Linked DNA regions of Bombyx mori. The protein of the gene in region 3 interacts with the protein of the main gene of each other region in a pairwise test. Links are inferred from orthologs where the notes say so. Each region holds a gene or a part of one and is shown on either strand. Other genes may lie near its edges.

Region 1 (11,321 bases), on a different chromosome or scaffold from region 3:
ACTGTCCATAGAATAACAAGCATTACAGAAAAGAGCCTCACACATTTTTTTTTTAAAACAAAACTTTTAATCCTTGTTAACCTACTAAGAGTCAAATGACGTATTTAAATCAATTATAGATTCCTAGATCGTGGATGTACCAATTTAGGATTGTAATATTCTTAAACGATTTCTATTAGGTATTAATAAATCAATTTCAATCAATCAAGCGTAATATTTTAGAGTGAGAAATAAATTTACAAATATATTATTGCAGCATTGAAAATGCAACCCAAATTCATTATTTAATCACGAGTCCTTTTTTTATTGACCGAAATATTACAGAGTACGTAACTTTATTATTTTAAAGACACGAATTTCAACAAAGAGGGTGACTGCAAAAATGGATGCAGTCTTGACGAGACAGACACCCAGGCGCTTAAAGGACCGAGGGTAACACTACATACCGACACGATAAAGCCGTAAGACATAAAAGCGACTCCTTTATCTATATTAAAACGTTTTGATACTTTAAACAAGTCAATAATGGTTCAATAAACGTCTAAAGAACGGCATAATAACAATCCACGTGCGCGGGCCGCCTACGTCAATAAAGTTTCGAATTTATATCGAGGTTTAGCCCCGGAGGCGTATACGAAATAATCTGAGCGGTGTTTACTGGGAGTTCTACAAACGGGGCACTTCACGTGACGTTTACGATCGTTCGAGTGGTAGTAAAAATTATGTTTACGATGAACGCGGACGCGTGCCATGCGCAAGCGCCGCCCGCCATGCGAAACTCATCACATTTGCCGCTTGAATCTGAATGAGACCGCACACTTGCATATTACCATCTTTTTTTATACTAGTTACATTGTCGCGATAAGGAAGCCGGAATCGTTTTAGCGTATTGTTGCCGTACTGTTTGTAGTCGTGACGCAATAAAACAGCTTTTTGGATTGTTAGTATGGCGAATCTCGTGACGGATCGCATGAAAGCTTTAGGATCAAAGCTCACAGTGTCATAATAAGTAAACAGAAAAGATTTATTAAATCTATGTTTTTGTACATGAAAATAGTTAATCTTAGAAAAGCTGTCCAGGTATCACAATGTCCTTCCTGTGTTAATGAGACTGATGACTTTTCGAATGATGGGCTAAAAGAAAATATAAAATTACGATAAAATTAAATCATCAATAATAAATTATTGTTTTTGTATAAATAACAAATAAACCAAAAATATAATTATATATAAACATATCGAAGCTCGTGGGCTTCAATATTTTTGTATAGTGAATTTTATATGTCTATGAGACTACTTATACAAATATATTTTATCATTTTCGATCATCAGACCAACAATTTTCTATTTAGACGGAATTTCCAATTAGGTCTGATTTAATAGAAGATTATTTATTTTCTTATTCGATTTCCATTTTGTTTATTGTTTAAGTTGGCTAAATGGATTCACGGTCCAACTAGTGGGCTAATAATGCCAACCTTGAGACAATCGGGTCTAAATGATGTCTCATGCTTAAGCCGGAGGTTATGGCTACTTCGTGACTATGAGCATATTAGTACCCCATAAGGCGCTTTACCAATCAAAAAGGCATAGGTACCTAGTTGTCGATAAAAGACGTGAATTGAGTTTTAAACATAAAATTACGCATTGGCCGAAAGATGTTACACACATGAAATCATGTCTTATAACTATGTTGGCGGTTATTCTGCTGCATTATACTAAGTCCAGTCCGATCAATCTTACTGGTGGTAGGACCTCTTGTGAGTCCGCGCGGGTGGGTGCTACCACCCTACCTATTTCTGGCGTAAAGCAGTAATGCGTTTCGGTTTGAAGGGCGGAGCAGCCGTTGTAACTATGCTTGAGACCTTAGAACTTATATCTCAGGGTGGGTGGCGCATTTGCGTTGTGAATGTTTATGGGCTCCAGTAACCACTTAGCTCCAGGTGGGCTGTGAGCTCGTCCACACATATAAAAAAAAAAAAAACTTGTATCGGTCTAGCAGATTAGTGCCGTTCAGTCTGATCGAACAATTCACGAATTCACTTTAAATAATTCACATTCGTCCGTGAATCACGAAAAACTGTAAATCATTCGAAATTGCCGAAGTAGTAAAATTAAAATAATAAACGCAAGATCGAACCGTAAAAGTAGCTTTAATCTTTCGACTCTCAAAAAACTTAGAAAATGTTATATTAATTTGTGTAATTGCAGCAAGTAGGTACATGATCTCAGGCTCTCCACTGTTGAACATAGCCCTCTCCAAGTGATCCATGGAGATATTTAGCCTACTGTACCACGCTGGCTAAACAGGTTGGTACAGGGTGTAATTTCGAGTTTATTTTATTTTTATTGCTTAGATGGGTGGACGAGCTCACAGCCCACCTGGTGTTAAGTGGTTATTAGAGCCCATAAACATCTTCAACGTAAATGCGTCATCCACCCTGAGATATAAGTTCTAAGGTCTCAAGTATAGTTACAACGGCTGCCTCACCATTCAAACCGAAACGCATTACTGCTTTACGGCAGAAATAAGTAGGGTGGTGGTACCCACCCGCGCGGACTCACAAGAGGTCCTACCACCAGTAATTACGCCAATTATAATTTTGCAGGTTTGATTTTTATTACACATAGGTATTAGTTTTCCTTCTCTTGCACTGATGTCCTGTGCATATTCCTTTAATTAGTTCTTACGACTCCCTGGGATAGTATAGAGGTGTTAACACATTATATTCTTACTCCGTCGTCACACGAACGTCACAGCACAGCAAGTACATGTGTAATATAAAATTTTTCACTGATTTTCTGACCGGAGAACATTCTAATTAAATGATAAAGCCGACGATTCTCGCTGTTTAAATACAAACAACTTACTTATTCTTAGGTACCATAAGCACTGGTCACCGACCTCGTCGCTTGCGACGAAGGGCTCGACGAGCGAATTAACCCATAGACATAGTCCACTGAGTTTCTCGCCGGATCTTCTCAGTGGGTCGCAGTTCCGATCCAGTAGTGGATTTTGCGAAGCACTGCTCTTGCTAGGCCAGTGTTAGCGACATTTCCGGTTTGAGCCCCGTCAGCTCACCTACATGTTAGGGTGAAGCTGAAATAGCCTCTCAAGGCTATCACCATAGGTAGGAAAAAAATACCTATTTTAAGTTTTATCATCAGATTAAAATAAGTCTTCTTTCATTCCGGAGGAGAGATATGTTGGAGGCTTATATGACAGTGATTACCGTCAATGACGTTCTAGTATAGAAAGTTCTAGTATATTTTTTTAAGATGAGACCGCTACCTATATTAATTACTCTGATGTGATTGCGTGCCGATGACAGTTCACTGCATAGTTTCTTAGTTTATTTAACAGTATTCAAATGTTTTTAGTTGTAAATTTTTGATATTCTGATGATGGGCATTTTTAACTAGATAATAGCAATCGTTAATACCCATTATAGCTATAATTGTCAACTAAACGATTGTTAAATTCAGGAGAACAGTTGGATATGTTTATTTTTATTTTTTATTATTATTTAGATGAGTGAACGAACTCACAGCCCCCTGGTATTAAGTGGTATGTGAACTTTAATAGGTTCGAGCTTGTAAATTACTAGACAATAATAACTTGCGTATTTTGGCTGCGAAACAGTACAGTAGAAATTTACACCGTATGTGTCAAGGTGGATGGTGCCATTGTACCAATTACTACCAGATGGACCATAAGCTCGTTCACGGGTTTGTGCGATAAAAAAACTAATTAATTTCTTACTGCATTGGAAGCCTTCAAACTAGAGCTATGTATATGCTCTCTTCTCTTCCTGAAGTTTTAGACGTATCTCAAATAAACTAGTACAGAGTTGTGTCTTAAAGATTCAGTAGGTACTAGTTTATTCGTCTTTAACGTAAATATAAGAGTTCAAGTAATATTTTAATAATCTTCACGAATTGTAGAGCCTAGTGAGCCCACACAGGTACGTAGCGCAAGTCTATCAAGTCCTGCGCTTTGGTTTGATTTAAAATTGCTGTTATTATACAATATAGTTGAGACACCGATCTCAAGGTGAATGACCGCTTTCGTGCTGTGATGACCATGGGCTCCAATGAGCAATGCAAAGTGAACGTGTCTGCCAATTTATAATACGATAAGTTAATAATATAAATAGATAATTATCATTTATGCTTTTAAAACACTTGTCACAATCGTTTTGTGTTATGCGAGTTTTGGATGTAGGTACCCATGGGCAATCTTGTGTTGTTCCATTAATATATAATTCAATTCTAATTTATTAATATTTTTCTTAATTTCTAGTTTGGTGTCGTGATTTGGTTCTGGTTCAATAAGTTATTTTGCAAGTTAACGAAAACCTGAAATAAGGTAAGTTTTAAAAAATCATAAAAAATTTAAGTATATTTAATTCATGAAACGTAAACCACCATTATCTATTAATTAAAATAAAAGTGTTAAACTTGTCATTTTACATATATCATTTTTAATAAATAAATAAAAAAACGTCTCAATACCCGGATCTAAAGGAAATATTTACATACGAAGGCGCAATAAAAATGCGTTCAATTCTTAAGGGTAGGGCGCACCATTCATTCGTTTGACGACTTCATTTGGTCGCGCGAAGTGAACTCGCGATAATGCGCTATTGTTTACCCTCCGATAGTGCGTTGTCCACTGCATGCGCTACACAGCGCGAGACCAAGACCGCTATACACTAATCAGCCCCGCTCGGATGATAACCGTTCCGCGCTCGACGCGCTGTCCCTTTCGCTCTCGAACGGGCGCCTTAAGCAAGAGAGCAATAGAAACATCACTCGTAAAAACAGGTAGTAGAAGAAATAATAATCATCTTTACGACTTCTCACTCTATTCAGCACCTTGTTACGATACTGAACGCTCATTGTGGCACGGTCGACGAGTGGCTGTAAAATCTTTTCTTTACTCGCCCGTTTCACTAATTGTACGTTTATGAGTTTACGACTTTTGCGGCTTAACTTTTTCGTTCTATTCATTTTTGAGGCTTTTGTTGAGGCTCTTCAAAAGTTTTGTTACGCGGTCGTCCGAAGATACATAAATTGTTAAAAGAAAACATATAGTTTATAATAGGATTTGATGTTATTGAGTTCTCTCTTAAGTCATATAAATGTCAGTTATTAACCTAGGTATTCTGAAGTAGAGCAGCTAAAGTTCTAGTTTGTTTGACGAACGTTCGCCACGTGCTCGAGTGGGTGTGATAAGGAAAGGAAAAGAGAGCGTAACTGATAATATTTATAGTGATTAGCGAAAAGGGGACGGAACAATAGTCGTTGGGCTGCGATGGTAGCAGTGAGCGCGGGGCGGCGCGCGTGTCTCAGCCGCGCTCAGTACATTGCGTGAGCCGCGTCGCGCCGGTCGCACACGACACACAGCCGCGCGCTCCCGCCACACGCGACGGAAAACTTCGCTCGCGACACAAGCCTCCGGCCCATACACCACCACGATCACTTCTGATTTCATACAGTGGAGACGCGCTCTCGGCTGACGTCCTGAGACGAGCCGGCGCCGCAGACGAAACCGCTTAAAAAGTCGTAAAACCCGCGGCACGCGCTCCCGAGTCGTAAAATAATCGTAAAAAGTAAACACACGTCAACTGGCCTTTATCGCCGACGAAGCCCATTATGACGCTTTAGTGACGTTTAAGAGGCAATAAAATTAATAAAAATAAATTACGTTGTCCGTATTTGGTGTGACATTGGCGGAGGTCGCGTTATCACGGCGCGCGGGGCCGCGATGACATAAGTGTTCCCTGAGTGACGTTAGTGCCTGTGACTGGTCACGATGAACTCTTACTTCGAGCAGGGTGGTTTTTACGGGGCCCATGGAGTGCACCAGGGCGGCGGTGGTGGAGACCAGTACCGCGGCTTCCCTCTGGGCCTCACGTATGCACAGCCACACGCTTTGCACCAGCCTCGTCCTCAGGATTCACCGTACGACGCGTCTGTCGCGGCGGCCTGCAAGCTCTATGCTGGAGAGCAGCAATATCCTAAAGCAGATTGTTCAAAGCCAGGCGGTGAGCAGCAGAATGGCTATGGTGGGAAAGAAGCCTGGGGCTCAGGTCTGGGAGCACTAGTGAGGCCGGCAGCATGCACTCCTGAAGCTCGATACAGTGAGTCGTCAAGTCCTGGTAGAGCGCTTCCGTGGGGCAACCAGTGTGCACTTCCGGGATCAGCAGCATCAGCCGCGCAGCCAGTGCACCAGCAGCCTACTAACCACACTTTCTACCCTTGGATGGCCATAGCAGGTTAGTAAGTTAAAAAAAATTATCTCGATCACAACTCTATATAAATTGAATATGCAATTTCGAAAAGGGCACACCTCTGAAAATGTAAAATGTTCAGGAAATGAAAAAAAACTGATTATTTTCTAAAGCAGTGTAAAATTTAAAATATTAACTTTTGAAATATATTTTAAGTGTTAATTAGCAATTGAAAATTACGGGAATTATTATAAAATGGGTGTAGGTAAGCCTCAAAACTACATGTATATGAAAAAACGTATTTGACAAAATATGCGACATGTGCCCTTTTCGAAATTGCATATTCGATTGAAGTGTATTATTGCGATCGTAGGTGCAGTTTTTTTTTTGATAAAATTAATTGCCGAAGTCTCTACCTATTAATATTGTATATTACATATTTGTTTACAAATATCACTGAAATTTATGATTCTATATTTAAAAATATATTGCGTTTCCCATAAAAAACTCGTCAACATTTAATATACATAAGTGGAAATGAGAGGCGTAACAAAAATATGTCACGTCCGATACCCCGTAAAAATCACTAAAATGCTGCCATCCTGTTTGGCACACATAATCGGGCCACTTCAGAATCGTCCATTAATGTTTCCTAAGAGTCCAATACTAACCGGCAGGTAGCCGACAAATCAAGTGTCAATAAAAAGCACATAAAACGAACGACCCTCGTTAACACCTTATTAGTGAGACAGATTTGAGTACCATTAATAATTTTATTGCGGACAAAACTCAGGATCCTCCAAATTACTAATTTGTAACGATAAATTGATATCAGTGATTTGATCATAAAATCTTTGGTGTAGACTTCCTGAATGTTGATGGTTCGTAGCAACGGAACTGGTATATAAATTATAGAGCTATGGAACTGGATTATTTGAAATAAAGTTCTCGTGTCTTAAAATTTTTTTTGGAACAAAACTAACAAGGTTTGTGAATTAAAATACGATTTAATCTTGGACTGGACTATACGGAGATTTAGCAGAACATATTATACCTACTTTTTTTACCGGACGACAAAACACTAAAATATTTCGAGAGAATGTAAAATAAAGAGACAAATATGTTGTCGATATTTACTTGTGTTCTCTTTTCTGACCCATAACAATTTAAATTAATTTTATAAATACATTAATAAAGCTAAGAAATAAAATAAAATAAAAGTTATTTATTATTAAAAGTTGTATATTTATTTTATTACTATCTAAAAATAAATAAAACGTTTAACAATCCTTCAATACTTAACACATACTTTAAGATGAAATTTTTCAGGTTCAAAATTGATTGTGTAGGCATAAAGTAAAGCAAAAAGCGCTATTTTAGTGGCCCAACGAGGCAGGAGAGGTGCGCCCGCGCCGCCCGCCCGGGTCAATGGCCCGGTCTAGTTTTGGGCGCATTATTATTAACTTACTGCCACTGACCATTCGACAAATGACCATCCCATTAAGAGCGCTTCAATCTTCAAACATACGTTTCGGTAAACATTCAATTCATGCACTTAAAAGATAAAATAACGCTTTAAAAATGTTTTACAAAATATCTAATACGGCATATTAGTTGGTATAGATTAGAATTTAAGTCTTATAAGAATCGATTCTCTCTCATTCGTAGTAGTTTTTCTGGAAAAGAAGTCCTATTCGAATTTCGATTGAATCGATTAGTTCACCTGGGCCGGCGACGAGTAATTAATGCTACGCGTGTGGTCCCGCCTCGTCATAATTCATGCGACTTGATAAAAATTAAGTAACAGGGCCTAAAAAATAACAAAATAAAATGAGAAGTCGAACCGTCGGCTATAATTCACTGTGGGTTCACGCAACACAGGCCGCGAAACAATACAAGGACGCTTGTTGGACGTGGCATGTATGAAAAGTTCGGGCTTGTCCATGAACGGTCCCTGCTGTTCATTTGGACAGTTTGCTAATTTGTAATACCTGTAAAGTAAACCTTTTTTGGTATAAATACCTAAAACATAGGTAATTTGGTATAAATTCCTATAAATATAGAAAGAAAAAAAAATTGTGGAGCTGTAAATGTAACTAATTTAGTGAAGCAAACGATAAATACGGTATAAGTTGAAGCTCGAAATTGCAATCACATGCTCCCGATCTTACTGCTATATAATTGAGGACTTAAATTACAGGGCCGTGGACTTCTTTTTTTTAAATTTGTTACAAGCGGTTTTTAAATGGAACAAAATAAAAACAAGAAAAATTATTTGGTGGAATAATTTTCATTTTCAATCATACGACAATTATTATGACCCTTCAAACAGCGACTTGAATCTTTCTCTTCTTACTTGGTGCACATTCGTTCTGTAGAGGCTTTTACACATTCCGATTCTTCAAAACTTGATATTGAAAAATATCAATTACATATAGCAGATTATTTTACCTTATTACTGTACAAAAACAGAAATACTGTCAAAATTCCTAGTACATATTTAACCCACATATAGAGAAATCAGTAGGACAATGTAAAAAAAAACTCTTTCAATAGCTATGAGTACATGCTATCTTGTAACTTTTTTTTTATTGCTTATATGTGTGGACGAGCTCACAGCCCACCTGGTGTTAAGTGGTTACTGGAGCCCATAGAAATCTACAACGTAAATGCGCCACACACCTTGAGATATAGTTCTAAGGTCTCAGTATAGTCACAACGGCTGCCCCACCCTTCAAACCGAAACGCATTACTGCTTCACGGCAGAAATAGGAGGGGCGGTGGTACCTACCCGTGCGGACTCACAAGAGGTCCTACCACCAGTAATTACGCAAATTATAATTTTGCGGGACTGTATAAATCTAGTTAATCAGTGGTATATTTATATTTTATTTTCCTATTTAACTATCCACGTAATTTCTGTCTTTGGTACTTTTGGTATAAATTAGGAACCAAGAGGAACTAGACGGTACTGTACTATCGAGCGTAATAGTCAGGCATTCTGATTTGAAGGGTGAGGTTGTATAATACAAAGGAGATTTCAACCTCATACCTCAAGGTAGGTGTTGGCGTTCAGGTTGTGATTTCTATGGATTTTGGTAATCATTTAATGCGATATGGGCTACAAACTAAACTACATACTCTTTGCAATAAAAATAGGGGTCAGGTAATCGTGGCATAGCATACTAAACCACACAAGCGGGTATCAATGTTCTTTCTGTTTCTGCCAAGAAGCACTCATGCGTTTCAGTTTTAAGGTTGGACATTCCGTATAAAATACTTTGGTTTCACGCTATAAGATAGGATGTATCTTTGTGCAGTCTTGAAGCTTCCGTTTTCGCTAAACACTAGTTTTTCCGTGAATTTCCGGATCTCTGTACGCCATTTCCTTTTTTTTGTTGTTTGAATACTATAATCTTAAGTATGAACTTCAAACATGAAATTCAAGTTTACAACTCTTTTAAATATACAGTGCACGTAAGCGATTGGAAATTATATTTTATAGTATCCTTTTTGTTAAGTTAAACGGCAATTATGGCTCATATTTCAAGAGGCTGTGATCCGAAAAGGAATAAAAATATTGTGCAAACCAAAAGAAAGTGGTAGTCACATCATAGAATAAAATTCAAATTGAATTAATTACAGCCAATCTTAACAATAATGAACTATGATTGTGCGTTCCAAAAAAGATACGGAACTCTACAGTATAAAAAAAATTCCCTCACTCTTATTTCGTATCGTTATCTCGCAATGCGTTTAGTCGGGTTGAACGTATCAACTTGGCCCTATAATTTCAAAGCAGTCATGTACCTGTCATTATAATTGAATATGAAACTCATTCGGAATTCAAAACTCGCCGATTACAAGAAGAAATCACTGTTGACGGTGTTACTCCGTCTGCTCAAGGCTGCCGATCCGTTGATACCTAAATATATCAATGTGCGTATAGGCAGAGATATTAATTCCATTAAAGTTCAAGAATTAGAAGAATAAAAATTTCATTTATCGAACGCTCAATGTGTACAGCGGTAATTGCGTGCGTTACGTAATATGTACGTTTCATTTTCCCGAAATAAAGAGTTGCTTGTGTCCACTATCTGGTTTATAAGCTATCGGTCGATTTGTAAATTTGTTGGTACATAAAATCACGAAGCAGCAAACACACTGTCGTATTTATTGTAGCAGATATATCCGACCGGGTCGTGTTGAAAAGTACGCTGTGTTTTAATCCAAACTATAAACTACATATTTCAGATTTTTTCATCGAAATCCATTTTTGAATGGTTGAGTAAGAAAATTTTACACATACTCACTTTCATATTAATATTTAATTTGGTTGAAAACGTGTCCAAACTCAGAGGTAAAATCTGACCGTATAATTTCTAAGCAGGTACCAAATTTGCGATGCAAGCCCGCGAGGCAACATTTTAAATCGTTCCTTTATTGGAACACATCGAATATCCGGAGCAGAATCATATATAAGCTTAGTAGGTAAGAAATATTTTATTTATCCTAAATTTAGTGTCAGTGATGGTTCGCTATAACAGTGTTTATAGATAAATAAATACATATACGTACATAAATAAACTAAAAATTCTTTTAAAGTGTCAATAAGAATTTTACATAGCGATTTTATATAGAAGGTATTTACCAGGTAATATGCAAACAATGCATACATGCGGTAGGCAGCGGCTTGGCTCTGCCCCTGGCATTGCTGACCACCACTGGTAATCAGTCACCATTAGGTGGGCCGGATGATCGTCTGCCTATACGGCAATAAAAAAAATCTTACTAATAGCACTTGTAGTATTTACTACATTAATAAAAAAAAATTGCTACAATAATTGGTAACGAATTAAAACTAGAAAAATATATAAACGCGAAAGTTTAAAACATTACAGTTGTAATGTTTCTAACGATCTCCCTATTAGACGAAAAAACGTTTCACTGTTTAGAAACAAATTTGCATGTGTTAAATACAATTTAACATATTTTAATTGCAATATAAATATATATTGTCTATTGCGGCTTGGCTATACATCTTATTAACCTAAGATGGTCGTTATCGTCTACCTTCTAAGGCAA
Region 2 (11,327 bases), on a different chromosome or scaffold from region 3:
AACCAACGTCCAAACCTCACATGAGACAGAACTCATGAAAAGGCAAAGGGGGGAAAGTGAAGTGTTTAGTGCGGAGCACATCTCTCCCATCACCCTCCCCCTCGGGACGCCGGACTGACATTACAGCTTGGCATGCTTTTAGTTCTATTGATGTGGCCTATTGATCTCGAACGGATGAGCACAGCCATCGTGACTATTTCTGACATGAAGCCGTCACGCATACTGGTTTGATGGGTTGGACAGACATTATACAAGAAAATTGAGTCTTCAACCTCGTAACCTCGTGTCTCAAGAAGGACAAAAACATTCAAGTTTTTCTTTACACATTTAATGAAGCTGCGATAACCACTTAACATCTGACAGGCCATGAGCTCGTCTATCCGTCTGTAGAAATAAAAAATGCCTTCGTTGAGAACATCAAAATGTTTAGAATTAAATTATAACATTCCTATTAAGATCAGTCTTCGATGTATCTATTTCTATTTCTACAACAAACAAATAAGAGGCAGTCTATTTAGACATTTTGAAATTAATAATTATTATTATGCGAAATAAATGTCTATGTTAACAACATTCAAATTGAAATTTGTACATTTATTATGTGCTTTTTCATAAGATACCATGACCACAGGGAAAAACTACATGTTTGGCAAGAGGGCATTTTATTTATAGCTGTATTATTTTATAGGCAAAGATAGAAAAACAATTAATATTGAAAAAAATTGTAAAATATCAAAAATATCTATACAACCACCTTGCAGCCATTTGACATCTTGAATTAATTACATTATTGATTGATTTGAGGATTTATTTTTTAATTAACTCAATTAAAAATCATTGTAATTTTTAAAGAATACATTATTTCATATTTTACTAGACATTCACAGATCCTCAGATTACAAAAAAAGCATAAGTGCTACTTTTAGAATTAGCAATTTTCATGTTTTACATTTATTAGGTCTAATATTAATTATTTTTCTGTATTTAAGAGTTGAAATTTTACAAAAATATACTATTTTATTAATAACATTACTGGTGTGTAATGAAATTTGCTTTTAGAGTACTTATTGTGTTAGGTTTATAAATAATTTGTAAACTTTGAACCAATGTGAGCTAATGTTTTAACAAACAAGAATCAAATGAAAAGGAACTTAAAATACCTAGTCTTCTTATACATACATTTTATGTCAGTCTTCAGTTATGGACAAACAACAAAAATGTGTATTAAACATACAATATCATGCATTAAAGAAACAACTTAATGTGTTTACAAAATCATTTGTTATGTGTATAATTACCTCATATCTAAAAATGTTTGCCATAAATAATTCTGATAATGAACCATTTTTTTCTTACCTATATAAATAATTGGCTTATTATTATTTTTCATTAATAATTCATGATTTTGACGTATATCATATCACTTAGCTGAACTGACACCCTTGCTTGTTTTGAATAGTACTTTGAACCCACACATTAATGTGTTCGACCTCTTTCTAAAATTAGCTGAATGTTATCTAGTGTTTGATAAATTACTCTAAAATTTGGACGATCACTTGGATTATGATTCCAGCATTGCTTCATTAAATCATAGACACATCTAGGGGTATTATCTGGGCAAGCTAACACATTTTCATCCTTCAAAAATCTAACAACTTCCTCATGGGTCATACCAAAGTATGGTTGTAAGGCAAATGAAAATATCTCCCACAAGCATACTCCGTATGCCCAAACATCAGATTCTAACGTGTACTTATTGTAGAGTATACTTTCAAGCGGCATCCACCTTACTGGGATTGCATCATGTTCATCACCCTTATAATAGTCTTGTAAATAAATTTTGTGTGAGAGTCCAAAGTCTGCAATCTTTACAACCATGTCATCATTTATTAAACAATTTCTAGTTGCAAGGTCACGATGTACAAACTTCCTGTCCGATAAGTACAGCATTCCTGATGCAATCTGTCTGGCAATGTGAAGAAGATCTAAGTGACTTAATGGTGCAGCAAGCAATCGTAGATCTTCACGGTGTTCTACTGGTGCAAAACTAGTAACAGTACTGCATGCTCTTAAGTATTCATTTAGATCACCTTTTCCCATGTACTCAAAAAGCAAACACATTGGACGTCCTATAGCACAAACTCCAAGTAATTTAACAATATTTGGATGGTCAAAGTCTGCAAGTAGGCAAGCTTCTCTTTCAAAATCCAATTGTAAATCATGAGAAGCTTCATCTTTAAGCATTTTAACTGCGACCAAAGTAAACTCTTCATCTGGTATAAGACCTGGAGCTTTTGCCTGAAATACTCTACCAAAGGCCCCTTGACCCAAATCACGAATATATATTATGTTATTTCTTGGAAACTCTAACTTTTCTAACTTAGGATTGAGTTGTGCTCCAGTTGTATGGTAGGCAAGATTACTTGGCAATTTATCTAAATCTATATCCATGTTTTGTAAATTCCTGCGACTTGAAACATTGCACTTAGAGTAATGATTTTTAACAATATAATGACATAGTAAAGCTATTCCTGCTATAGCTAAAACACATCCAAGGCCCCCTATTGATAATAATAAAACAAATGTGGGTGTAAAGTAATTCTCCATTATTAAATTTGATCCCTTAATATTGTCTTTCTCTCGACTTGAATTAGCACACATTGGTATCTCACAATACTGCCATCTCACGTTTGGATGCATAGTGTAACACCAAGGCCTATTTTCTTCACCACCAGCATTTCTACAATAATTTGAAGAGTTCTGCACTTCTGGAAACACTAATGGAGGTCTGGTGTGTTGATGGGGAAATTGCGACTCCCAAGCCTGACAAGCTAAACCAGCTTTTGTTTCATTAATTACACCTTGGTAGTAACGGCCATTACCTTTTACACAGGTTGTAGTCACCTGATCAAGGTCCATGTCAGTAATCCCAATATTATTACAGGAAACTTGAGAGCCTTTACCACTGTAATGTGGTAAATTTTCACATTCTGGTAATCGAAAATGACCCCTAGATTCGAAAAACACTCCTCGTTCTTTTTGATCTTCAATCACTATCCAGTCGTTATAACAAAATTGCATTTTAACTGCCATACAGTCTTCATAACAAAGTGGTAAGGCAAAGTATCCGACACCGTCCTTATTGATGCACTTCGGAAACGCATAAGCACAAAGCAATCTTTCAGCTTGAGTCCTGCATGGTTCTTGGAGATTTGAGATCATTTCTTTCCAAAGGCCACTTGTTATCTTCTCGTTGTCGAGTCCGCCAGTGTGGTTGTACCATACGTAGCCGGTAGAATAACTTTTACATACTTGCCCATTGTATGGACCACAATATAACTGGACTGATTTTGAGAGAAGCAGCAAAATTAACAGCTCGATGAACAGGTCCATTATGATTATTGTTAGATGGTTTTAGACTTCTCCGTAACATCTTACAGTGATCTTAACCACAACATTGTCAAAAGACAAAAGTTATACAATGGCGGACAGTGTATAAAGTTATGTCTGTATCGTATCGATTTTATGATTGTAAATTTTCGTAAGCTCTGACTTCCTAGTCCAACCAATGTTCGCGTTCGCTCGACTTCAAGCAAAATTTTGACATATACTACTTGAACTTTGAATAGACACCTATTCAGTGATAGTGGTATACATTTATAGGTTAATCTGTTTAATTTAGTTATATATTTATGTTTTTCTATTGAAATAAATTGTTGGTCACAAGACATAAAATCATTATTGTATTAAAATTTGAAGTCTTCGTGGCGTAAAGAACTAAGACGCCCGGTGCATTCCGGTGATATGCGTACCTACTTGAAAAATATTCACGAATTACTTTCACGGTGACGGAATAAGAACATCTAATAAAAATCAAATACGCAAAAATTAGAAGTTACTTATTTACAGATAGAAGGGCGTCTTGTGAACCCACACGGGTAGGACCTACTCTGCCTATATCCGTCGTGAAGCCGTCTCATGTCGCGTAAATTAAAATACGGTATGATTTAAAATTGTACCGAAAATGAACCTTTACTTCTACTTATTTTATTCGACGAGTGAATAAAAAAAAACTAAAATGAACACGCTGATTTCAGAGTAAAGTGACGTTGTCTAAAAAAATTTAATTGATAATTAATTAGATATGTATGTTTTATAAACCGTTTTTCATAAACCCAATGAGATTTAATAAAAACAGGCTTACTTAGCAGTTCATAACTTCAGGTTAGTAGTAACTCGACTCTATCAAAGGAGACTGAAACGATTACATACATTTTTGGGCCCGAATGTAACGTGATGAAACTAATATGAATTAATAGATTCAGATTTATCAGTACCTTGCTGAAAATTATAAAAGTTTTCTCAATCTGAGAGCCGAGTTAATAAAGATTTAGTAAAAGTTAGGTTATGTTACAATCTCTTTAAAAGAGCTGAATAATAACTTATTTAAGCAAGGTTATGTTACAATCTCTTTAAAAGAGCTGAATAATAACTTATTTAAGCAAGGTTATGTTACAATCTCTTTAAAAGAGCTGAATAATAACTTATTTAAGCATAAGTAAATGTTTATTATATCCATTGGATAATCATTTAAATGTCATAATAAGAGTGAATATCAATGATATATATTAGGTATGGAATATGGAATTGCTATCCCACAATTCACACAGCGATCCATAATTTCTACAGTATCCAATGCAACAATTTCAAGTCAAACGTGTGAGCGATCTTCGGTGTCCAGTGTAGAAGCAATTGTCGTACAAGGCTGGCAGAGTTGGAATCCGTAATAATAAAGCAGTGATCGTTGAAAATATAAAAACAGCCCGATAGATACACACTCAAAATGCGTCGAAAATACAAAACGAGTAAAGCAGAAAAAACCAACAAGCGCCAAAAAATAATTGTATAATCTATGAACAAACGTCATGTCAGCTTACTGTCAAAGCTGTCATCAAAAATACAATCGATTTTAATCGATTTGAAATCGATAATCATATTACTTTGTTAAGTAATAATAGACTTTTTCTTCATTTATGTATATAATCGCAATTAAATCCGGCGTATACCGTACTTGTATACAACAAGTATAAATCGTTCATTTAATTACTTTGCTTTAACTACCTAGTGCAATGTTTTTCTTTTTATAATCCTGTAATCGATTAATTAAATCGATCACACCGTTATACCGACAAAAACTAACTTTCTCATTTTTCTCCGGTCCCAGAAAGAGGATTGAGGTGATTTTTTATATTCTTATATAAAAAAATATGACAAATTTTTTAGACTACATTCCAAGTTATTACATTTTTGGCCCACGATTTTCCGTCTCCTTTATCTCTATTCTATTGTCTCTCATAAATATACAACTTCGGACACAGTACAGATGCGGTCGACATAAATATTAGTATTAATACTAAGTATGTACTGATAATGGAATGACAAATAGACTAGTAGTAGTAGTGACTTATTTTAATTGAAAACTAATGATTTTCAACTTTTTGTCGGCTTTCTTTAGTGTCAGACATTGTTACTAATTATTGATTTTACATTTCATTGGGACTTTTAATTTGGACTTTTTTACTTTCGAAAGTTTGGTTTTAAATATTTTCTTGTATGTCTTAAATTCGCGTTTCTTTTTGCGGTAAGTTGTGGATGTTGTAGCGCGCGGTGCATTGTCTATTTTCAGTATATACGCTTAATTTAAACGCAAGTTCGGAGCAGAATTAAACGTATAAAACGTAACGTTACCTTTTACCTTTTTTTTGTAAGTTCGCCCCAATTGAAATATTCCTAATCGAATGATGTAGTAAGTCGAATAATTCGATTGGAAATTCATAATCGCGTATCGTTAGTTGGTAGTACTGAAGGTATGAAGATGGTGGATTAGACATAGACAATACTGACATTGTGAATTTGTCAAACATTTTTATTTGCAAACACTTACCGACAATTTCTTCAATGAATGGCTGCGATTGAGAAAGTGAAGGTTGTGGTCCTCGGTGATTCAGGTATGCTTATTTCTTCTAATTTCGTTGTCGTCCATTTATTATAGCACATACAAGTAGGCACATAGAATTTCACAAAATAACAATACGTTTATTATAACGCTCCGCCATGACACCTTAATGATAGCCAACATTACAAAAATAGGTGCGAACGTAGTGGTCACATTCGATAATATCGATATTTGTTTACAATAATGAGAAAGTTGACTTATTGTTTTTAAATTTATCTGAAGTTTTAAAAATTAAAATTTAGTTTATCTCGTGATTATCCATAGTCGAAAACGTATTATAACATTATTATAAATTAATTCATTAATATACTTTCTTAAATAATAGTAGGCAGAAAAACTTTTATTACATTTGAATAGACATCTACGTAATATTGACGTTAGACTTTATAAAGAGGGTGTGCTAGAGCTAGTTGGCGCTCTGTTTCCACTTCCCACACCCCATTTTATATGCTTGTACTATATCTAGAATAGACATCGGGACTTAAATCGTTCACGTTAGTGAACTCGTTCACTAAATCTCGTTCCGTAGAGTGAACTTTGTGCTTAGTGCGAGTTTAACGTTCTCGATAGCGTAAAAATTAACCCGATTTTGTATGCAATTGGAATAGCGCCCCTAACGTAGGCAAACGATCCCATCCCATACAAATATTAGCTAACTTTTACGCTATCGAGAACGTTAAAAAACTCGCACTAAGCACACTGGTTACTTAAAATCGTTCCGTACTTCCTTTACGGGGAATCTATTCTGTATAGTCGTACTGCACATGGTTACAACTCCGGAATCGAAACCTTTTCAATCACAGCAGAAGCGATTTCATTAAAATTGCGATTTCTTCATACTTCAGGCAGACTTAAGACTGATAATAATAATGTGATAACTAAACAACACAAACTAAAATTAATTGAAATGTCTAGTTACCTAGTAGGTATACCGACTCGCAAAATGTAAGAGAAAGTACCTATTCTGAAAATAATGAAAATATGTGAATGAGTTCATTAAAATTTGATTCATCGGAACGAATCGCTCGCGAGCTACACAAATTTAATTTAGTATCTTTAGATTACATAATTACTATATTTTATAACGAACTTAGATTTTATTTTTGTCAGAATTTCCGTAATGAGTTTTGCCATCAGATCCATTATTGTAATCTAATTAGATCGATATATTTTTTATGGTTTCGAAATAATAAAGCATTTAAATTGTAGGTGTGGGCAAAACATCTTTAACACATTTGATAGCACACAATAAGCCCATTTTATCGCCGGGATGGACGGTCGGTTGCTCTGTGGAAGTTAAATTACACAAATACAAAGAAGGAACACAAGCCCAAAACACGTTCTTCGTAGAACTTTGGGATGTCGGAGGCTCAAATGGACATAGAAACACAAGAGATGTGTTTTACCAACCAACGCATGGTTTGTTATATTAGAAAAATATGTTTTAATTTGATTTTTTATGGATGAACGAGTTCACTGTCCATCTGGTACCACCAATAACGACTACAAATCACGTCGACATATACCTAGTCGTTTGTCAACGTTCAGACCAAAACACATGATTGCTTGGTGATAAAAAAGGGCTCCTAACCCTGTGGGTTCATACGCGACCTATCCACAGTAATAATTCAAATTTATAAAATGCATAATACACGATGCAGTTCCCATATCAAAGTTGTTTATGAATACTTGTTAAGTGCGTATTTATCATGGGTACATATGCAATCTTCCCGATAACACGAGACATACCACTCCAGAATAACATTCTTAGATGAATAGTAGAGTTAAAGAGTTAATTAAATATTTAAGGAATCATATTGGTGCACGATTTGACGAACAGAAAAAGTCAAGTGAATCTTCAGAAGTGGCTCGCTGAAATATTGAATCAGGACAGTTCGAATCCAACTTTACAGCATGTAGACGTCGATCCGGAACAGTTCTTAGGTTCCACACAGGTCTGTTTTTCGGTTCCAATATCTAAGTATTATTTTATGAAAATAATATATTATTTCAGAATATAGAAATTCCATATAGTTGTTAGTAGCAAACTTTTATTTAAAATGTTATTTAATCTAGCCTACGGTTGGGATTGCAAAATACTGCGAGCTTGGTTATTTAGCGCGTTGTTTGTCCAAATGATTTGCCATCAAATACTTATAATAGACTATAAATAGAATATAAATAGACTGTCTATTTTTTGCAATTTTTTTTTTGTTGCCTTTGCCCTTTTGGGCTTACGACTATACGGCCCATCTGATGGTGAATGGTTACCGTCGCCCATGGACTTCAGCAATGCCAGGGGCAGAGCTAAGCCGCTGCCTACCTTTATGTACTCTCCACAAGCCTCGTTTGAAGAAGAACAAGTCATCGCGCTCGGGAAACACCATGCCATAATGCCCTCAAAATACAGTCTGAGCTTAAACGCATTCTGTGCCACATTCACGCGGTCCGTTTCCTCACGTAGGCGTAGAAGTCAGGGCTATTCCTATCACATGCGGACGGGTAGGTGAGCTCACGGGTACAACCTGAGAGAATTAGCTAACACTAGCCCTAGCAAGAGCAGTGCTTCGCAGAATCTACCACCGGATCAGAATTGCGACCCACTGCGAAGACCCGGCGAGAAACTCAGTGGGTTGTGTCTGGGTTAGTTCGCTCGTCGAACTCTTCTTCATAATCGACGAACTCGATGAGGATGGTGACTGGATTATCTTGAAGGCATCATTATATTGTATATGTAGATCCAGCAGTTCCGCTGGCCATAATTAACCCACAGGCTGCACGTGTAAAAGCTTTGGCAATAATAATTAAACAACGTCACCTTGCTTCGTAAATAATATGTAAATTATTATTTGATTCGACAATAAATACGTAATCTGGAGAGTTCGATTGTAGATTCCGATTTTAGTGATCGGGACTAAATACGACGCTGCGGAGGAAAAACAAAGGAAAAATCAGTATAGAAGACTCGCAAGTAGTATAGCTGAACAATGCGGTGCTGACGAAATATTTGTAACCTGTCATCAGGCAAGGTAACCATTGAAAATATTCTGTTGTTTATAAACATGATTTTCAGTAACGCGAAATTAAATTATAATATTTCAGATCCCTAGCTCCAGGCTCTACGAATTCAGTGAAATTAACAAGATTTTTTGATAAGGTATTTCACGAATAAAGAACAATATAATCAATTAATCTGAATACTTTATATTCATGTCTAGTAGAATACATTCATATCATACATTTCAAATATATTTGCAGGTAATTGAACGTCGATACTATTCGCGAGTTAGTCCATTTTCAGATAAAAGACGTATTCCCCCGTACATCATGGCTACGTCAACTCCTCTTTCTAACAACAGACCATCTCAATATATGAGTCCAAGGTTTTATCATATGGATTAAAAATATTTGTATTGCCTATATTCAAATCATTCCTTAGGTTCGAAAACTAAAAACATTTTTTTCCTTTCGTAAATTGGAGTAAGGATGAAATATTGGACGCAGAAAAAATAATTGTTTTATTGTTTTGTTAATTAATAAAATCAGTTTAATGCAAAATTTTGAAAATTTATTGAATTATTTATAACGCCCAAACTCGAACGTAGTCTACTTGGAGGGAAGCGTCTTGACCATCGTTAACGTTCAAATTCCACGTCGGAAGCCAACCGCCTTGGCCATTCCAGAAATCTGTGGCTGCCTGTAATGTGATGAAACTAGTAATAAGTAAATTACGTTTGTTAAAAAAGCTTTGCAGTTGGTTTTAAAATGTTTTGCTGTTACTTACCATTGGGGAATTGTTCCACCAAGGCTTAGGAATAGGGTTCTTGACACCATCAGGGAAGAAACCATTGGTGCCTCCGACAGCTAAGTTGATTATGAGATAGAACTGAAAGTTTAACAATCAGTAAATAGTCTTCCTGTGTTTACATTACAGTATTTTAAAGAAAAAAATATTAAAAATAGATATAGACATATTATCTGATTAGTAAATGTCTTATATCAGTCTCTAGTTCCTACGGCACTGGGACTCCTAGGACTTTACTCTTAAGGCCCGTTTTGGGCGGTATGTGGTTTGTACTCGATTATTTATTAATGTTAGATTTACACTTTTTTCAACGGAAGCGTCTATAAATACAATCCTATCCATATCCAATCGACTAGCGAGTGCCCATGTATTTGGGAGGATTGTTGTAAAGTCTATATAGAAAAAGATATTACCCAAAGAAGAAAACAGCTAATAGCATTAAAATATATTGCGTCCGTCTTAACTTGTATTTATTTTAAAGAGAATGTAGAATAATCTGATAATCAACAAGACACTAAATTCAATCTTCGACGAGATCTGTGAGTGAGTTCAAACCTATGCAATCTGACTGCAAATGCCGTCTATACAACATATCTTGTGTACGTCGTTTGTCAAAAGCAAATTCAGTATAGTAACATTTTTGTGGGTGTGTAAATACGTACTTTTTGGTCGAATGGCGCCATCTTACTTCCATATCTCCACGGGTTATGAATACCGGGTCTATTGTTGAAGCCGCCGTATTCCCAAAAGCCACCATTTCCAGGAGTGACACGACCGATCTCAGAGTCGTCAATTCTAAAGCTTATGAAATCTGCGAATTTGGTTAATATATAATTACTTTCGTAATTAAATTTTTGGCGATAATTGGTATTGAGCCTTGAATTCAATAATAATAAGAGATCTTTAATACATTTCCAAGATTATCAATTTCAATATTTTTTTGCTTCTATGTTGATCATGAAATCCTCAAGCTACATTGGACGAAACTTCTATATCATATTTTAAATTTTTTAGGGTTATTATATGTATGAGGCCCGGTCACTACTCGAAACCTGGTGGACTGTGCAATTGACTGATTTAATACGAAAAAACCAAACTCGTTTTGTAGTAATATTTGCAATGCACACTCTGATTTTGACGATGAATTTCAATATTTTATGCTATTGCGATATATGTATTCTAATATATGTATTATAAATTGAATACAATGGAAAAGGATTCATGATAAAATAAAAACGACGCATCCGAAAAATAGTCTACCCACTCTATTTAAAAAATAATGGTACGTAAACCTACCTACGCAAATTGTAATAATATAGGTAATAAGAGAGTATTTTTGTAGAAATAAAACTGTTCTATTTTTAGATACGGTACATATAGCTATTTAAACAAAAAGCTATGTTGCCAAAAAAGTATATATTGAGATTATAACTAAATTACATTGCTTTTCGTTTTTTATTTTTTTTTATTTAATCTATTCTTGAAACGTGTATTTGAAGTATCTTC
Region 3 (11,518 bases):
CTAAACGAAAAATTGACTCATAAAAAGTTACTTGTAAGTATTTGGTGGACTAGGGCCAGTGTCGTTCACTACAGCATTCTAAAATCTGGCCAAACGATTACGGCAGATATCTATTGTCAGCAAATGCAAACCATGAAGGAAGAACTAGCTGCTAAGCAACCGAGATTGGTCAATCGCTCTAGGCCACTGCTGCTTCACGACAACGCAAGACCACACACTGCACAACAAACAACCACTAAGTTAGATGAGCTACAATTGAAATGTCTGCGACATCCACCGTAATCCCCGGATCTTGCTCCAACTGATTACCATTTTGTTCCGGAATTTGGACAACTTCTTACAAGGAAAAAAATTCAACTCCGATGCGGCAGTTTAAACTGCCTTTAAATAATTTATTGATTCGCGCCCCCATGGTTTTTTTAGTAAATGGATCAATGAACCACTTACGAGATGGCAAAAGCGCATAGATAACAACGGTGCATACTTTGATTAATTAAAACAATTTTACAAAAAAAAATTGATTTTATATCCCTCCCGTACAAAACGCCAATTTCATATCTCATATCTCTTAGTCATCTTTAATGAAATAAAATAATAAGGATATCTGAACCTTTACATTGGAGCATTTTCGCGTTATTCACTATTTTTTAGAGCTGAAAAGCTCGACCCAAACATAACCTAAGAATGTTTCCCATCTCAAGGAAAGTGGGTACATATTGTCGTTTATAAAAATCGGCACAGTCGTTAGTATTATACTTCAGTCTCATTTGTAAAAGATTTAACATACGTAACTGAAGACAAGACAATACTTCTTCTAGGTATGAATCAAGGGAATATAGTACCATTAGTTAATAAGCTAAGAACAATTTACATATCATTCAAGTAAACACTTTTTGGACACTCAAGTGTTCTATTTTAATATTAATATTATTTAAACTATAACGTTAAGTCGTTGACCAAACAAGAAATCTAAAATTTTATGTTGAACTCCGCTATTGAAGCCAATGATATTTAATATGTATGTATAAAAGATCATTAATTGAAGCCAAAATTTTTGGAAAACGTACAATTTTGACAGCACGTAAGGTTCCTTTGACTTGCAAAAGTTTGAAATACGTCTGTGGCGTTTTATTATGCGTAAGCCGGAACGCACGAGATGTGGGAAAAAGAATATAGTCTGTGACAATACCTTTTTACCGCCAAAATATGAAAAACAAAAATAATTTATAATGTGATAATAACCAATTTAATGTAATTACTTTATGCCGCTACAACAATAAAATTTATATTGTTCCAACTGTGGTGTTAATTACATAAAACACAACCAGGCGAAATAAAGAAGGGACTCTATATGAACTCCCTCATTGGTGACCCCGACGTGCTCGATCGTTACAAATAAAGATCGAGTAGAAACCATATACACTTGGCGCAGCATCCAGACAAGGTCGAGTACAAACTATATACACCTGGCACAGCATTCAGGCAAGATCGTCTACAAACCATATACACTTGGCGCAGCATCGCCGCGCACAGCAGAGTGATCAAGTACAAGCGGTTAAACACCTGGTGCGGCATTCCACAACATGGAACTTATCTTCTTTTTTTTGTGTTTTCTGATTAACTCAGTGAAGTGTTTTATATATTTTTATTTTTTTTTATTTTAATCTTAATACTTCTTCATATTCTCCGCCTATACTGTAACTTTAATTTTGTTACATAATTGCATATATAACAGCTTTGTCTTTGTCGACATAAAAAAAACAAGAAAAACAAAATTTTAATTTAATTTAAAGGTTCCTTTTGTAACAATAGTTAATCATATTTTGTTAACGGGCCTTCATTGCTCCGCCAATTCATTGTATAACATTGTAGTTAATAATAATATTAAGGTATTATTGTACGATTAGTAGTAAGGAAATATTTGTTTTTACGAGGCAAAATAAGTACAGTTTTAGGTTTTATCTACATGAATGCTTTAGAGTAAATAGTCACGAAATGTAAGTCGGTGCTAACATCACATCTGTATTTAACTAATTTATATTTTCTTGTTTACTATAATTTTATTTCATTGTTTTACTGTGTCTCTTATAGTCAGTATTTTGCCATCTTTTACCATTATCATTAATTTTCAATTTCCTCTTTACTTATTATTATTATTATTATTTTTTAAGTTGTTACATTGTATAAATGCTTATTTTTAATTTTTTTACAATTGTAAACGTAGTGTTCAATAATGGAGGCAAACGAACAATTAGTAAGAGAAGAAAATACACTGTTACTACAACAAAATGCCATCCTAAAGGCTGAGTTACAAAAACTTAAAATGCAAGGCATTGATAAAACGGACCCACCCCCCACAGACCCATTATTTCCTCAACCTACCTCAGTATGCAGAGTAGCCATAAAACTTCCTCCCTTCTGGCCTGATCGGCCTGCAATTTGGTTTGCTCAGGTAGAGGCACAATTCTCGATTTCAGGCATCTCCGCTGACCTGACTAAATTTAACTACGTGATTGCTCAGTTAGATACCCGAGTTATTGGGGAGGTAGAAGACATTATTCTCCAACCACCACCAGAGGACAAATATGGTCGCCTCAAATCCGAGTTGATCCGTAGGTTGTCCACGTCTGAGGAGCAACGTGTCAGGCAACTTGTCAGTGATGTTGAGTTGGGTGACCGCCGTCCTTCGCAGTTTTTACGTCATCTTAGATCATTGGCAGGAAACACCCTCACTGATGAAAATTTGCTTCGCCAGCTATGGATGCGTCGCCTCCCACAACATCTCCAAGCAATTTTGGCCGCCCAATCAGAACTCTCGCTGGACAAAGTCGCTGAGCTAGCGGACAAAATTTTGGAAGTTTCGCCTGGTATGGTCGCACCTCATTCATCTGCTGTTTTCTCAGCAAGCACGTCTGCCGTCTCACCCCCTTCGTTAGAAGATATCACACGGCGTCTGGATGAGGTCACGCGTCAGCTTGCTGTGCTTACTGCAGAGCGCGGTAGAAATAGGACCCGGGATTTCTCAAACCAGCGACGACGCTCACAAACGCCTGGTAAGCTTCAAATGTGCTTTTACCATAGGAAATTTAATACTAAAGCTGTTAAGTGTATTCAACCATGTACCTGGACGCCGCCGCCACCTTCGGAAAACGACAAAAGCAGTCAATGATGGCGACGTCTGACTGCTTAAAGGAGAGTCGCCGATTATTTGTCACCGAAAGTGCAACCAAGCGCCGTTTTTTAATAGACACAGGCTCTGACCTCTCCTGTTACCCATACCAGTGGTTAGCAAATAAGCCGGCACGTTCAAACTATACGTTAGCGGCTGCCAATGGTAGTGAGATACGCACTTTTGGTCACATAGAAATGGCGCTTAATTTGGGGCTACGCCGCACATTTCAATGGCGATTTATTATCGCTGACGTCAACACCGCCATCATCGACTCCGATTTTCTGGCGCACTATCGGTTGTTGCCAGATTGTGCCAGCAAGAGACTCGTCGATAGCATTACCGGGTTGTCATGCGTTGCGGCCGTCGCTGTTTTAGACCAGACCAGCGTCAAAGTTGTCTGCGCTCCGTCATCCCAATTTAGTGCACTTCTTGCGGAATTTCCGTCCATTACGAAGCCACCAGGACTTATTCGTGAGCCGAAGCATAACACAGTTCATTATATTTTAACCACTGAGGGCGCCCCAGTCTCTTGTCGTCCTAGACGTCTGGCACCTCAAAAACTTCAAGAGGCCAAAAAGGTTTTTGATGATATGGTACAGTGCGGGACAGCCAGACCTTCGAAAAGTTCGTGGTCTTCTCCACTTCATATGGTCCCTAAGCGCGACGGCACCTGGCGACCCTGCGGCGATTATCGTGCGTTGAATTCACGTACCATACCTGACAGGTACCCAGTTCGCCATATCGGTGACGTTGGCCATAACATATCTGGGTGTAGTATATTTAGTACCATCGACCTCGTTAAGGCATATCAGCAAATTCCTGTTGCGCCTGAGGATATCTGTAAAACCGCCATCATAACACCCTTCGGACTCTACGAATTTAATTACATGACTTTTGGTCTGCGCAACGCAGGCCAAACGTTTCAAAGATTTATAGACGAAGTTGTCCAAGGTCTCGATTTTTGCTCAGCTACATAATCTTAGCCATCCTGGTACTAGATCAACCATTCGATTGATCTCAGACCGTTTCGTGTGGCCTGGCATTGCCAAAGATTGCCGTTATTGGTGCCAAACCTGCGTTGCTTGCCAGCGAAGTAAGGTGACGCGGCATATAAAATCTCCACTTGGACACTTCTCCAGTCCTACGTCTCGACTGAAGCATGTCCATATTGACATCATAGGCCCTCTTCCATCTTGTTCTGACTTCCAATACTGCCTGACTGCTGTGGATCGCTACACTCGATGGCCCGAAGTTTGGCCTATGCACGGAATAACAGCAGAAGAAGTGGCGAGCACCTTTGTAGCCGGTTGGATTGCTCGATTCGGAGTACCTGCTGTCATCACTACCGACCAGGGACGACAGTTCGAGTCGGACCTTTTCAGACGCCTTACTAATTTATGTGGTACTAAACGTATACGCACTACTAGTTACCACCCTTGTGCCAATGGGCTCGTGGAGCGCATGCATAGACAATTAAAGGCCTCTCTGATGTGTTATGATGATTCGTGGTTGAATGCATTACCTTTGGTCTTATTAGGAATGCGTTCGGCTTTTAAAGAAGATCTACAAGCAACAGTAGCGGAATTGCTTTACGGAGAAACATTAACGCTTCCAGGGGAACTGTTAGTACCTCCCGGTCCTTCTGGCTTCGAGGACCCGACGGATTTTGTCGTAAAGTTAAGACAGCGTATGTCTAAATTGCGTCCCACTCCATGTTCCTCACACACTAAACCATCACCTTTCATATTTAAAAATCTTTCCACCGCCTCTCATGTAATGCTCAGGGAGGATTCGGTTAGACGTTCAATGCAACCACCTTACTCTGGTCCTCATAGAGTTATATCTAGAGCCGAGGACGGAAAAACGTGGTCGATTGATGTAAAAGGGAAACAGGTGACGGTCAGTGTCGACAGAATTAAGCCAGCTTTCGTCGAGCATTCTTTAGTAGATCTCGTTCCAGCACCAGCACCGCGGGTTTCTGTGCCTCAACCAGCGCAACCGGATGCTACTAATGTCCCTTCATGTCCACTCGTGCCTTCGGCACCTCTAACTGCTACTCCTACGCATACACCTCAATATACCACCCGATCAGGTCGCAGAGTCCACTTCTCCAAACCTTTCGACCTATGATATTTTTTTCTCTTTTTCTGCGGATTCTCCTTCTCCGTAGGGGGGTGGTGTGGCGTTTTATTATGCGTAAGCCGGAACGCACGAGATGTGGGAAAAAGAATATAGTCTGTGACAATACCTTTTTACCGCCAAAATATGAAAAACAAAAATAATTTATAATGTGATAATAACCAATTTAATGTAATTACTTTATGCCGCTACAACAATAAAATTTATATTGTTCCAACTGTGGTGTTAATTACATAAAACACAACCAGGCGAAATAAAGAAGGGACTCTATATGAACTCCCTCACGTCATTTGTCAAAGATGGTCATATGTCACATGTCAAATTGCTCAAACCGGATTTTAAAGAAACAGGATTTGGAAGTGGAAAATAGACTACATTACAACAGCAATTAAACAAAATACTAATACAATTGATACGTACTTTTAGTGATTGTGTTTAAAAGACGAAAATATGGACCCGGCGCTCTTACGGGAACGGGAAGCGTTTAAAAAGAAGGCACTTGCGACCCCGAGGTCTGTTACATTATTTTTAACTAAACTATTCGCTAGTCCACAACAATGATTGGAGACATACTGGCATCCATCGCACACTTTCTCTGTCACTCACGTAGCCCATACAATTACTATCAATTCACTTCCTTGTGGCAATATTCATTACTGAGTCATTATATAAAGTTATGAATGGAAATATGTGTTTCGAAATACTAAATGAGTAGAAATGTGAACAAATCACTTGTGCAGAGAAAAGTAGAAGATTTAAATGTTAATAAGATATAATATCTTTCCTAATTTAATAGCAGCCAATATTCTAGATAAATATGATCAAGGCACAGGCCCTATTTTTTTAAAGATTATATTGACTGGCATGCCCTAGGTAAATTAGAATACAATGGAAAATGTTTCATTTAATTTAAAGTAATGAATTTTTTCAAAGAATCTGATCAAGCTGACAGCCCACATTATGTTAAGTGATTACCTGAGCCCCTAGATATAATGTGAATGTCACCAATTGTTTTGAAACATGATTTTTATCTAAAATGCTACTTCATCTTATAATCCATTTATGAAAACGTGTTAGAAATGTTTTGCCGTGGAAAAAATTATACAGGTCTATGGTATTTGAATACCAGCATAGTCACACTTGATAAAAGTACACTTTACATGAGCTATAGTTCAACCCATCGAAAGGTTACTGTCAAATTAGAACGAAACAAAATTAATAAAGTATTATTCTTTTCTCTTCAGCATTGAAAAAAAGAAAAGGGATGACTCTGAATTCAAAGATGACAGCAAAAAGAAATCGAAATCATCCAGCTCAGTCAGCTCCGGACCAAAGCTTGATGCTAGTAAGTAAGTAAAGGCTAGGGCAACATAATTAATAATTTAAAATATTCTGTTATCAAAATAACTATTGAATTTACATAGTTACTGTGTTCCGCATAAACAAATATGTGCATCATTTACTAATGCTATTTTCATTAATAAACTAGAAATCACATTTAGTTTTATCTTTTGACTAGGTCAAATTACTATATCAGCAATATCTATTCATGACATCAGTACCATTGCTTCCCATAATTTATTATGCTTTATAGGTAATTTTAATCGCCAATTCTATTAAATAATACTAATAAACTTTTTATAGCAATATCAACTTTTGAATAAAAAAAATTAGAAAAAGCCTTTGGAAAAAAAATTATGAAAAATAAAAAACACAGGATTTATTTGGAATTCGAAAATTTATATTATGATAGCCTTGATACAGGCTATATGTAGCGAGCTTTTTATTGTTAAAAAAATAATTTATCATTTAGTGTATTTGCTAAAATCTTATAAAATATATAAAAAAGAATTGATCATATTTAGTGCTACAATGGATAAAATATTGAGATAGAGCATATAGATACCAGTTCTTTCTCTGTTTGACAACTCTCCCTTTTATTTAATTTAGTAGCTATTAAAGAGCTTTTGTGTTATCAGAAAACAGTTCTAGATTTTTTTTTATATCACTAAGTAACGAAACAAAAGGGAAAATTTAATACTAAATTGAATCTAAACCTTGAGGTGTCAATGATTATGGTCGAATTTAGATCAATAAGCAAACACTAATAATATTATTTTTTGTTATATTATAATTATTGGTTAAATCTGTGATTGATCATCATCCTTTTCAGTTACAAGACTATGACTGGCAGCTCGTCCTATCGCTTTGGTGTGCTAGCGCGTATTGTACGGCATATGAGAGCAAGGCATCAAGATGGAGATGACCATCCACTGTCTTTAGATGAGATTTTAGATGAGACAAATCAATTGGATGTCGGAAATAAAATAAAACAGGTATCTTTTAATAAGTATTGAAATAATAAATAAATTACCTCAATAATAATTACAACAACACACACATTTTCTTATAGCTGATGATAAATGCAATTTTTATTTTATTACTAAGTCTAATGTGCTCACGAACCACCTGGTGTTAAGCAGTTACTGGAGTATATAGACATGAGTTCTAAATCTCACTTTTATATTGCTTATGCTTCAGTAAAGAAATAGGCAGTGTGGTTATATCTACCCCTGCATGCTCACAAGACACCCTATTAACACTAACTGTATCTACATAATGTATAAAAATAATCATGAGTAATTACTTTAGGAAAATGATGGCATTAATTACAGTATTATTATACCCCAGCACACAAGTACCACAACACCCAAATTGATTAAAATGCTTTTTATAAATAATATTCTATTTTAATTGATTTCTCTTTTATAACCTGCTGTAAACATTTTCAAGTGGCTACAAACAGAAGCCCTACAGAGCAATCCTAAAATCGAATGCTCTCCGGATGGAAAGTTTAACTTCAAACCGGTTTATAAAATAAAAGATAAAAAATCTTTACTGAGGTACGTATAATATTTTCATTATTTACATAATTCAAATGTAGTAACTAGAAAACGATTTAAAGATCATCACCTGACAAAAATCATATAAATAAAAAGTACTTGTTCAATTTGCATTTCATTTATTGTAGGCAGCGGTTTGGCTCTGCCCCTGGCATTGCTGAAGTCCATGGGCGACGGTAACTACTCACCATCAGGTGGGCCGTATGCCCGTCTGCCCACAAAGGCAATAAAAAAAAAATTGTCTTACTCTTATACACTTTTATTTTAAGCGTGTTGTGTATGTTTGTTTATATGTAATAAATAGAATCTATGAAAGTCATTTTGCCCCCGACTTCAAAATGTCCAATCAACTTAAAAATTTACAAACTCATCAGGACCAACCTCTCTAATATCGATGACCAGTATCAACAATAATTTAATTTTATAGGTTACTTAAGCAACAAGACCTCAAAGGCTTGGGAGGTATATTATTGGAAGATGTTCAAGAGTCGCTGCCTCACTGCGAGAGAGCACTGAAACATTTGGCACAAGAGATTTTGTATATAACAAGGCACACTGATAAAAAGAAAATATTATTCTACAATGATAAGACTGCTACATTAGACGTAAGTAGACGTTGTGGTCTAATTATTTGTAGGGAGCACACTGTGAGCCCGCATAATATATACTATCTCATATTCATAAAATATATTAGAGATTGTTCAGATATAGTATTATCTATGAGCTCCTGCCATTTTCTTGGTTTTAAGCCAAAAATTAATTTTAAGTTCAAAAGATAGATAGAAAGATTGTGAAGTCGTTGTGGCCTTAAGGATAAGACGTCCGGTGCATTCGTATGTAGCGATCGATGCACCGGTGTTGGAATCCCGCAGGCGGGTACCAATTTTTCTAATGAAATACGTACTCAACAAATGTTCACGATTGACTTCCACGGTGAAGGAATAACATCGTGTAATAAAAATCAAACCCGAAAAATTATAATTTGCGTAATTACTGGTGGTAGGACCTCTTGTGAGTCCGCACGGGTAGGTACCACCGCCCCGCCTATTTCTGCCCGTGAAGCAGTAATGCGTTTCGGTTCGAAGGGTGGGGTAGCCGTTGTAACTATACTGAGATCTTAGAACTTATATCTCGAGGTGGGTGGCGCATTTACGTTGTAGATGTCTATGGGCTCCAGTAACCACTTAACACCAGGTGGGCTGTGAGCTCGTCCACTCAATAAAATCAAACCATTAATCTCTTGCAAAATTCAGGTAGATGACGAATTCGTGAAATTATGGCGTGCAACAGCGGTGGACGCGATGGACGACGCGAAGATCGAGGAGTACCTCGAGAAGCAAGGGATCAAATCCATGCAGGATCACGGGCCAAAGAAGATGCTTGCTCCCAAACGGAAGAAGGCCAAGCAGAAGCGTAGACAGTTCAAGAAACCAAGAGACAATGAACATTTGGCCCACGTACTGGAGACGTACGAGGATAACACGCTGACTCAGCAAGGAGTTTCCATTAAATAAACTGTGATTAATTTGTATATTTTCTCATTAGTTGTAAGGCAAACGATGGTGATTAAAAAAAAAGTGGAATATTTGAGTTTTTAAGATTTTCCTTTATGCAAATACCTTAGCTCTTGTCACAAACGAAAATTTAATTAACAATAGACAATAAAATTGAAAACATACATTTCTTTCAGCGAACTCTCCAATTCCAATTTTAAATTCAAAACGGATTGACGACAAGCTTCCCACGCAAAACTGACTCAAATATTTATAAATGTAACACTTTTGTACGTGATTATCACTAGTGGACGGTCTGACGGATGAGCTCTCATCTGATGTTAATTGGTCGCAGGAGCCCATAGACATCAACAACGTAAATTCCGCAGCCCATCTTGAGATATGGGTTCCAAGTCTTAGTTTTTACAGTACACCAGCTGTCCCACCCTTCAATGCAGGATGACAAGACACCCTACTAGGTTTCTAGATTTTTATTTTTTTTCAGGGCGCGAAGACACTACTGGTGGTAGGGCCCCTTGTGAGTCCGCACGAGTAGGTACCACCAGCTTGCTTATTTCTTGAAACAGTAACGCATTTCGGTTTGAAGGGTGGCGCATCCGTTGTACTGTAAAAACAGATTTAGACCACATATGTCGAGGTGGCGGCGTTTACACTTTTGATGTCTATGGGCTCCGGTAACCACTTAACACCAGGTTCACTGTGAGCTCGTCCAACCAGCTATGCATTAAACAAAGTTTCCTTTGCTAATTCATAGGTTGCAGTATCTTAATCCTTGTCATGGCACACGTCGCGACCTTATCACTCATTTAGAATCTGTATTATCAGCGCTTATGAAGCAGAGGCGTGGGAGAGACAATCTAGAGACTATATCTTGACATGAAGCGTATAAATTAGATTTACTTTAAAGATGCTCATATGGACTCTTGGGTTTTATCATCGTTGAATATTATTTGTTCTTGGGATCCCGACCACCATTAACAATACTATTATGAAACCCATCCTAAATTGAACCTTAAAGCCAATAACCATAAAGCTGAGATCTTCGATATCTGAAGTCTCTAATGTTGGACCATTATTATGGTACACAATTATAGGTAAGACACGTTACAGAGATGAGATTCCCTCCATCTGGTATCGCTGTCGCGAATGAAAATTACACTCTGTTTTGACCTCTGCGTTTTATTGAGGGTGGTCATAAAAAATGCAAGTTTTAGTTACATCTATACCTGTAAATAAAATTGGAGTGTTTGTTTATAATATTGAAATAACCGCTTTTTACTACATGCATATATAAATATATATACGGTACGTACAACAACATTTTTTACAATTTTTGTCTCTCTGTCTGTCTGTTTGTTCCGGATAATCTCTGGAACGGCTGGACCGATTTTGGCGGGACTTTCATTAATAGGTAGCTGATGATATAAGGAGTAACTTAGACTACTTTTTTAGACTAGCTTTGCCCCGCGGCGTCACCCGCGTTACGACAATAACCGCGTGTAACATCGCGGGACTCAGCTAGTTAACAATACAAAAAAAAAGCCAGTATTAAGAAAAGAATGAAGCAGATTTATTTTAAGTTATCCATTGGCTTATTCTTTGTTTGGTGCCGTCGTAATTGCACTTCCGTTTGAGCAGCTTTCAAAGTTGTAAAAGTTCCGCCGCGTTGTATCTTCTTAATGATTTTCTTGTCATGAAACGGATGATTGTGTAAACCGGTTCTGTGAGAATAAATGAATTCATTGCAAATTTTCTATTGCACGCTTTTTATATATAACTAGCTGACTCGG

What was found.
Region 1: the proteins of general transcription factor IIE subunit 2 (region 3) and Ubx interact in a two-hybrid assay, tested with the Drosophila melanogaster proteins (2 studies listed by BioGRID, with this or other methods). The link is inferred for Bombyx mori from reciprocal best matches to the Drosophila melanogaster genes TfIIEbeta and Ubx.
Region 2: the proteins of general transcription factor IIE subunit 2 (region 3) and general transcription factor IIE subunit 1 interact in a two-hybrid assay, tested with the Drosophila melanogaster proteins (2 studies listed by BioGRID). The link is inferred for Bombyx mori from reciprocal best matches to the Drosophila melanogaster genes TfIIEbeta and TfIIEalpha.

Annotation. Positions count from the first base shown.
Region 1 is NC_085112.1:6,101,279-6,112,599, reverse strand, and holds the start of Ubx (ultrabithorax), read left to right. Parts: upstream 1-5,818; coding exon 5,819-6,281; intron 6,282-11,321. UniProt on the Drosophila melanogaster protein: Sequence-specific transcription factor which is part of a developmental regulatory system that provides cells with specific positional identities on the anterior-posterior axis. Binds the consensus region 5'-TTAAT[GT][GA]-3'.
Region 2 is NC_085128.1:9,614,087-9,625,413, reverse strand, and holds the start of general transcription factor IIE subunit 1, read right to left. Parts: upstream 6,406-11,327; 5' UTR 6,009-6,405; coding exon of another isoform or gene 5,963-6,008; 5' UTR 5,945-5,962; exon of another isoform or gene 5,849-5,944; intron 3,394-5,848; coding exon of another isoform or gene 1,477-3,393; exon of another isoform or gene 1,470-1,476; intron 1-1,469. Other genes in the region: rab-like protein 3, read left to right, coding at 5,963-6,008, 7,226-7,435, 7,826-7,971, 8,909-9,045, 9,119-9,173, 9,275-9,418; BGRP4 (beta-1,3-glucan recognition protein 4), read right to left, coding at 9,597-9,713, 9,801-9,902, 10,484-10,632.
Region 3 is NC_085118.1:15,262,630-15,274,147, forward strand, and holds general transcription factor IIE subunit 2, read left to right. Parts: upstream 1-5,617; 5' UTR 5,618-5,761; coding exon 5,762-5,823; exon of another isoform or gene 5,824-5,827; intron 5,828-6,555; coding exon 6,556-6,660; intron 6,661-7,484; coding exon 7,485-7,647; intron 7,648-8,104; coding exon 8,105-8,214; intron 8,215-8,641; coding exon 8,642-8,819; intron 8,820-9,467; coding exon 9,468-9,728; 3' UTR 9,729-9,799; downstream 9,800-11,518.